Arabidopsis thaliana: one gene and its partner. The protein of the gene in region 1 interacts with the protein of each later gene in a pairwise test. Each region holds a gene or a part of one and is shown in the gene's direction. Other genes may lie near its edges.

The links. The genes of interacting proteins can lie anywhere in the genome.
Region 2: the proteins of TCP15 (region 1) and RCAR3 interact in binary tests that used the Arabidopsis thaliana proteins (3 or more experiments, as listed by UniProt).

Annotation. Positions count from the first base shown.
Region 1 is NC_003070.9:26,214,235-26,217,834, forward strand, and holds the start of TCP15 (TCP family transcription factor), read left to right. Parts: upstream 1-1,774; 5' UTR 1,775-2,214; coding exon 2,215-3,192; 3' UTR 3,193-3,600. UniProt on the Arabidopsis thaliana protein: Transcription factor involved the regulation of plant development. Together with TCP14, modulates plant stature by promoting cell division in young internodes. Represses cell proliferation in developing leaf blade and specific floral tissues.
Region 2 is NC_003076.8:21,558,725-21,562,561, forward strand, and holds the start of RCAR3 (regulatory components of ABA receptor 3), read left to right. Parts: upstream 1-1,876; 5' UTR 1,877-2,301; coding exon 2,302-2,439; intron 2,440-2,720; coding exon 2,721-2,936; coding exon of another isoform or gene 2,937-3,016; coding exon 3,017-3,229; 3' UTR 3,230-3,837. UniProt on the Arabidopsis thaliana protein: Receptor for abscisic acid (ABA) required for ABA-mediated responses such as stomatal closure and germination inhibition.

The DNA of each region.
Region 1 (3,600 bases):
GGGGCAAAGTGTGATTGATTCTTGTTTGAAGAGGAAAAATAGGGAGTCATATGTACATAAATAGATACGCCAGTGGAGAAAATGACTGATAATAATTAATGAGTGATTAATTAGTCGGCTGACTTTCTTATTCATAATATCTTCTGATCATATTTGTGAATCGTAATTGTTTTGCTTTTTAGATTTGTCAAATATGCACAACACCTTTTAACTATCAATTCGTTTTCTTTTCTGTTTAGTCTTTGATATATAGTTTTCTTGATATTTTGATTGGTTTACTAATTACTACAAGCAGGCCGATACTTTTAGTTATTTATATTTTACGAGGGAAAATTATGGTCAATGAACATATTCTAGTTAAAACATAAAAAGATATCACATATATAAGTAATTAAAATATAAAATTTTGTCATTTGTAAATATGTTTGGGCGAAAATGTTTGGACATCCCATAGGTTTTATGTGGCTATGCGTAAAGTTTCTAATAGTTAGACTAATCAACGTTCCTAAGAGATCATCAGAACTAGTTACACCTTACACGTAACGTTAATGATTCGTCTAAACTAAGAGACGATAATTAGCCACAATAGAAAATACTATATTTTGATTTTTGAGAAGTTTTATCTTCATAAAGCTTAGACATTTGAAAAAGAATAGTAAGATTATAACAAATATATTTTACAATTTTCAATATATACTAAGAAAGATGAATTTGCCTAAACTCAAAATTAATATGTGTAAGAATTTTTATAATTGGTTTTCTCCATTTCTTTTAACAAAATCATATGTATATTCAAATATACTACCTGGCAATTATTATATGCATGCTTATGTTGGTTTATGTAATAACTTGGATTTATTTTGTTACACTCAATTTCTATAAAACACAAATTTGAGATTTTTAAAAAATATTTATTTAAAATATCTTCATAATAATTCGAATTTACTTTTATATTATTTTTTTCTTTTGTATTCTCTAATTCAATTATATTTTTAACGTTACCATATATATATATATATATATATATATATATATATTACGCTGGTCCTAATTAGTAGTATAATCTATGTAACACCGTATATTTTGATTCTTTGAACAGCTTATATGAATAATCATCACATAAGAAGGAGCCTTCTTCATCACTATTCACTACATATAAAAATTCGTTTCAGAAAAAAAAGATCAATGTTCTGTCCACATCAGAGTATCAAAATAATTTTCTAAATTTAGTGCTACATCTTTTAACGACAATTGTATGTCAATGAGATAACTCCAATGGTGGAAACAAAAGAGAAGCATTACAAATTTGCTTTTATATATCTATAAAGCACTGTAACTATGGTTTTATAAATAATAATATCAAACTGGTAACTCATTCAAGAGTCACAGAGGAGAAAAAACAATCCATCTGTTTCATAAAAAAAGCAGTTGGATTCTATTATATCATGTGGATCTCGTGAACTACCATAGAGCCATGGATTAATCACTGTCATTCTGTCAATAATAATTCTATCTATTTATTATTCTGTTGTCACATATGTACAAAATATATGTAAACTTCTCAGTTCTGTCTGAATCGCTGAAATTTTCGCTAAATGTGCAATTAATTTCCCGATCGCTTGAAGTTAACAGTTACGACGAGAAACTGACGTCACTTTTTAATTATTGTAAAGAATGAAAAAGAGTGTTCGTATAGGGTAATTGTATTATTGTAAAAAACTATGTATCCAAACACAATAAATACACGAACAACATTTATTTTCACTCACTTTGATCACTGTACGTAATAAGGAAAAACATTTTATTTGAATGAATATTTGTACAGATTGGAGAACCACGTAAGCCCATCTCTTTTATTTCCAAAAATAACGAAAAATTCTCAAAGGGAATAGTTTATAATGTAAATAAAATTCCAAAAATAAAACACAAAAGATATAAAGCAGCAAGAGAAAAAAAAAGTCCATGCTTTCATATTCATTGCTTTAATCTCTCTCTCTCTCTCAGACATAGACACAGCTAAGCTTCCCATCTGAAAGGAGTTTCATGTCCTAAGGACCATATTATAACCTCTCTATCTCTCTCTAAGTATCAGCAAAAAAACAGAGATTTATAGAGAGAGAAAAAAACTATGGCTCACATAAAGATCTAACAGAGACAGTAGTATAGTCCCACTTCCCCACCACCAAAGCTTCGATCATCATCATCATCATCATCATGGATCCGGATCCGGATCATAACCATCGACCCAACTTCCCTCTCCAGCTTCTTGATTCTTCTACCTCCTCCTCTTCCACTTCCTTAGCCATCATCTCTACTACTTCCGAACCTAACTCCGAACCTAAGAAGCCTCCTCCTAAACGAACCTCTACTAAAGACCGACACACCAAAGTCGAAGGCCGAGGCCGTCGGATCCGTATGCCTGCCATGTGTGCTGCACGTGTCTTTCAGCTCACACGTGAGCTTGGTCACAAATCCGACGGTGAAACTATTGAGTGGCTACTCCAACAAGCAGAACCAGCGGTTATAGCCGCTACAGGGACTGGAACCATTCCGGCTAACTTCACTTCTTTAAACATCTCACTTCGTAGCTCAAGATCTTCTCTCTCTGCTGCTCATCTTCGTACAACTCCTAGTAGCTATTACTTTCATTCACCACATCAGTCCATGACTCATCATCTTCAACATCAGCATCAGGTTCGTCCCAAGAACGAGTCACATTCTTCGTCTTCTTCTTCTTCACAGCTTTTAGATCACAACCAAATGGGTAACTATCTAGTACAATCAACTGCTGGATCTTTACCTACGAGTCAGAGTCCTGCAACGGCACCGTTTTGGAGTAGTGGTGACAACACACAGAATCTTTGGGCTTTTAATATTAATCCTCATCATTCCGGTGTTGTCGCCGGAGATGTTTACAACCCCAACAGTGGTGGTAGTGGCGGCGGTAGTGGAGTTCATTTGATGAATTTTGCAGCTCCTATTGCTTTGTTTTCTGGACAGCCTTTGGCTTCTGGTTATGGAGGAGGAGGAGGTGGCGGTGGAGAACATAGCCATTATGGAGTTTTAGCGGCGTTGAATGCTGCTTACCGACCGGTGGCGGAGACGGGGAACCATAACAACAACCAGCAAAACCGTGACGGAGATCATCATCACAACCATCAAGAAGATGGAAGCACCAGTCATCATTCCTAGGCAAACATACACAAACAAATATATTCTGTGAGATTTATTTTTCTTTTTTTGTCCTTTCGTTTGTTTGTTTGTTCTTAACAAGCGTGTTTTTTTTGCATTGCTTCTTTTTCATATATTTTTATTTATTTCTAAATTCTAATATTCTACGGATTTCATCTTGTTTATTTTTCTGATTAATGTATTGAGTAAGTAATTAAGAACCTGATAATCGATATGTTTTAGTTTGTGGTTTTTGCATGCAAGGCTTTGGTTTTATTATTCTAGAGATTTTTGCTTGAAGTAGTTGTCTTGTGAAATGTTTTCCTCATTACTATTGAGTGTGAGAGTTTTCTAATACTTGATTAGGGTTTTTGAACAATTTTTATATATGTATATTAATTCAGTACGGATTATCAATAAATTATTTCG
Region 2 (3,837 bases), on another chromosome or scaffold:
GAGAGCCCACCTGCAAGCTCCAAGCCCAATCTTAAAAAGAAACTATGGGTATCCAATTTTTTTTTTTTGTGTACTTTAATCTTGAGGTAGTAGTATTTTCGAGAATACTTTAGCACGTTACAAAGTTAGCAACGAATTTTCTTTTTCTAGATATGACTTATAAGAGCCAAACCTTTTTATGTTATAGAAATCTTTGTCACTTTGAGATACTTTTATTCAGGATTTAATAAAGAGTGTTGGATAAAGCACGTGGGACCTTTTGCTCTCTCGAGATTGGCTCTTCGAGTCAGGAAAAGTTAAGACTGTGAAGCAAACCCTATATATGATACTGTATACAATATATTTTTTGGATAAAGGATTGTGTAAATTAAATGATCAAACTATATACTTACTATTCTGGCCTTAGTGGTTATAAGATACTAATATTATACTGTAAATGATCAAAACAAGATACTATTGTCAGAATGCGAAAAAATAAAGCGAAGTCCAACTTAATAGTTTACGAACTTTTACTTCATATTATGAGTCGAATGAGAGTGAATACTGGAATTGGTGATGATGCAGAAAACCGGATTAGACGAAACAAAGAGAACATAATACAAATCATTGGTATGGAACTGACAAAACGTACGAAACAATCGATGTTAAATGGTTAGAATAAAATTTGGATGATAACCATAATAACTGCAGTGCATGTATAATCATTAAATTTTAGCTATTTTTAATACTTGGAATAATAGATGTTTACTATTTTTATCATATACCTAAAGAAGTTCTTGTAATTTGTACTTAGTACCTGATTTGTCGTTCTAATCCTAAAAAAAGATTTGGTCCTTTGTAGTTTGCTTCAAAGGCCCCGAATCTGCATTGATCATGGTCTGGCTCGGGGGTGTTAAGCACACTTTTAACTAGTGATTATATGTCTAATTGGGACATCAATATACCTCCATGCACCTAGTAATGTGACCATCCGTATAATATGTGTACTATCTCTTCTTCAGCTAAAGGTTAACGAGCATAATCTGGTTAAGCCCTATGTTTGGTTTGCATTATAACAATCTCTCTGAAATTTTGTAGTATTTTCATCAATTTAAATTAGTATATTTTCGACAATTTGAATTGTTCTTTGAGTCTGATCACAGTCAAGTACACGAACTATATGCTGATCTGATCGAATTCATTCTACTATATACACACACATACACAAACATTTTACAGTACACCACTAATACTATAATCCCAATAACAAGAAAACCTAAAATATAAGTACACATTAACAAAAGAAAACAGTTTGCAAGTTATTAAGTGGTTTTTGGATTTGGTTTATAGTTTTTAGATTTTTGCATTAATTATATATATATATATATATATATATATATATATATATATATATATATATATTTGAAACTAAATATGAAAAAGTTATAGCGTTAAAAAGTGAAAAACCAATGAAACATAGATTTTAGATTTCCTTTAAAAATCTAGATTCCTTATTTTTATAAGGAAAACCATTTCTCCCAATCTTAATTGGCTATAAAGTAGATTTTTGGAAAAAACTTAAGCCATAAACAATTTCAAAAAATCTATAACCATTTCAAAATCTTTAATCCTTTTTTTTTTTTGTCAAAACAAGTCTTTTATCCAAATGAAAAAGCACCCAAGAAAAAAAAAAAAAAAACTATCCAATAATTGAGTCAGCTCTCATAGGCTTAAACAATACTTTAAGGATCAACATTAAATAATTACCACACTTGAGGGGTAAAACTAAAAACGGTAAATAAAACACAGAAAAACGACAACGAGGGGCAAAATCGAAAATAAAGAGAAAATAGTGGGATAATAGAAGAAAGCATCCAATGAGAGTAGTGAAATCAGAGAAAGACCTTTACTCCTTTAGTCCAATACCATCCAATCAATCTTTTTCTTTTTTTTTATAAAAATCTCTCACTGAGTCTTTTTATTTAAATATTATAAAAAGGAGAGAGAAAAAAAGTTTGTTGGAGGATTCGTCTCTCTCTCTCTCTCTTTCTCTTTCTCTCATCTTCTTCTTATCTCCCTCCAAAGACGGCGACTGTATAATCTATCATTTCTTCACAGTAACGCTTTCATCGGAAGATCTCGCCGGAAAAAAACTTCTCTCTGAGATCAGATCTCTTACGATTCTCAGCTCAATCTTATCTTTTCCTTTGTTGTGCTGCTTTTCACTCTCTTCTGCGCGACGAATTTGGCCTTGTTTTTTGTTTGTTTGTCGTATCCGACGCGGAGGTATTGAGAAACCGTGGCTTAAGACGGAGGAAGAAGATGGAAGCTAACGGGATTGAGAACTTGACGAATCCGAATCAGGAAAGAGAGTTTATAAGGAGACATCATAAGCATGAGCTTGTGGATAATCAGTGTAGCTCTACGCTTGTTAAACATATCAACGCTCCTGTTCATATTGTAAGCTTCTCCCTTCTTCTTCTTCCTTCATGCGCTCTGATTTTCTCTGTTTAAGTTAATCGGTTCTTCTTATTGTTGATTCAATCCAGAATTTGAAATCTCTCTCTATTTTCATCGATTGTTGATCTTACTGATGAAGAATCGATTGGTTTCTAATTATTGAAAGCTTACATAGCATTTGTGTAATCCCAATCTGAGTTTGTTTGATCTGGTTTTGCTTTATTGGAAAAAAAAGCTCCCAAAAACGCTTATGGATTAGTTTGAATCTCTCTGGTGAATAGGTGTGGTCACTTGTGAGAAGATTTGATCAGCCACAGAAGTATAAGCCGTTTATCAGTAGATGTGTGGTGAAAGGAAACATGGAGATTGGTACAGTAAGAGAAGTTGATGTGAAATCTGGACTACCAGCAACTAGAAGCACTGAGAGATTGGAGTTACTTGATGACAATGAGCATATTCTCAGTATCAGAATCGTTGGTGGTGATCATAGACTTAAGGTAATCAATGAATCAAAAGGTTCGTTTTCTGTTTACAGTGAATCAAAGACTTATATGTTCTATATTGTTTTTGGATTTAGAACTATTCTTCAATCATCTCTCTTCACCCCGAGACTATAGAAGGAAGAATAGGAACACTTGTGATTGAGTCATTTGTGGTTGATGTACCAGAAGGAAACACAAAGGATGAGACTTGTTACTTTGTTGAAGCTTTAATCAAATGCAATCTTAAATCTTTAGCTGATATCTCTGAACGTCTTGCGGTTCAAGACACGACAGAATCGAGAGTCTAAAGATCAAAGGAGTAAGAAACTATTGAATCAGAGAGATTTTGGTTGCCATGGATGAAGCTCTCAAAGGGAAAAAGAGAGAGTGGGTGAGTTTCTTTGAGGATGGACAAGGCAAAAAAAGTATCATCATTTATCCAGTTACATAATAAGTTTCTCATTTGCTATTTTTGGGGTCATTTCACTTTCAAACCCTCTTTTTAATTTCATGTGTCTAATTTAATGAATGTGTTTTTGGTTTCTTCTCTATAGAACCAAAATATGATTTTGGAGTTTAGCTTTAGCAACTTGCAGGAATCTTTTTACAATTTGCAGAGAAGACATGTTAAAAGTGTGTGTGATCATGGGGTTCCACTCTCTTCTTCCTTTTTTAACACTTTTAGTTGCACCCATAAAGGCCACACACCGTCTTTCTTATATTTATTTTTTCTACTTTTAAAGATGAACCAATAGGGTTTGTGAGATGTGAAAAATCTCCACAAAGGACCATTAAGGAAAGAGATCTTTGTTGTTGTTTATAGATTTTGTCTTGACTTGTGATTGGGGAAACACACTTTAGCTCCATTAGCTGTAAAAAGTTTTGTATACTATTTTTACAATGCCAAAGTGTTTCT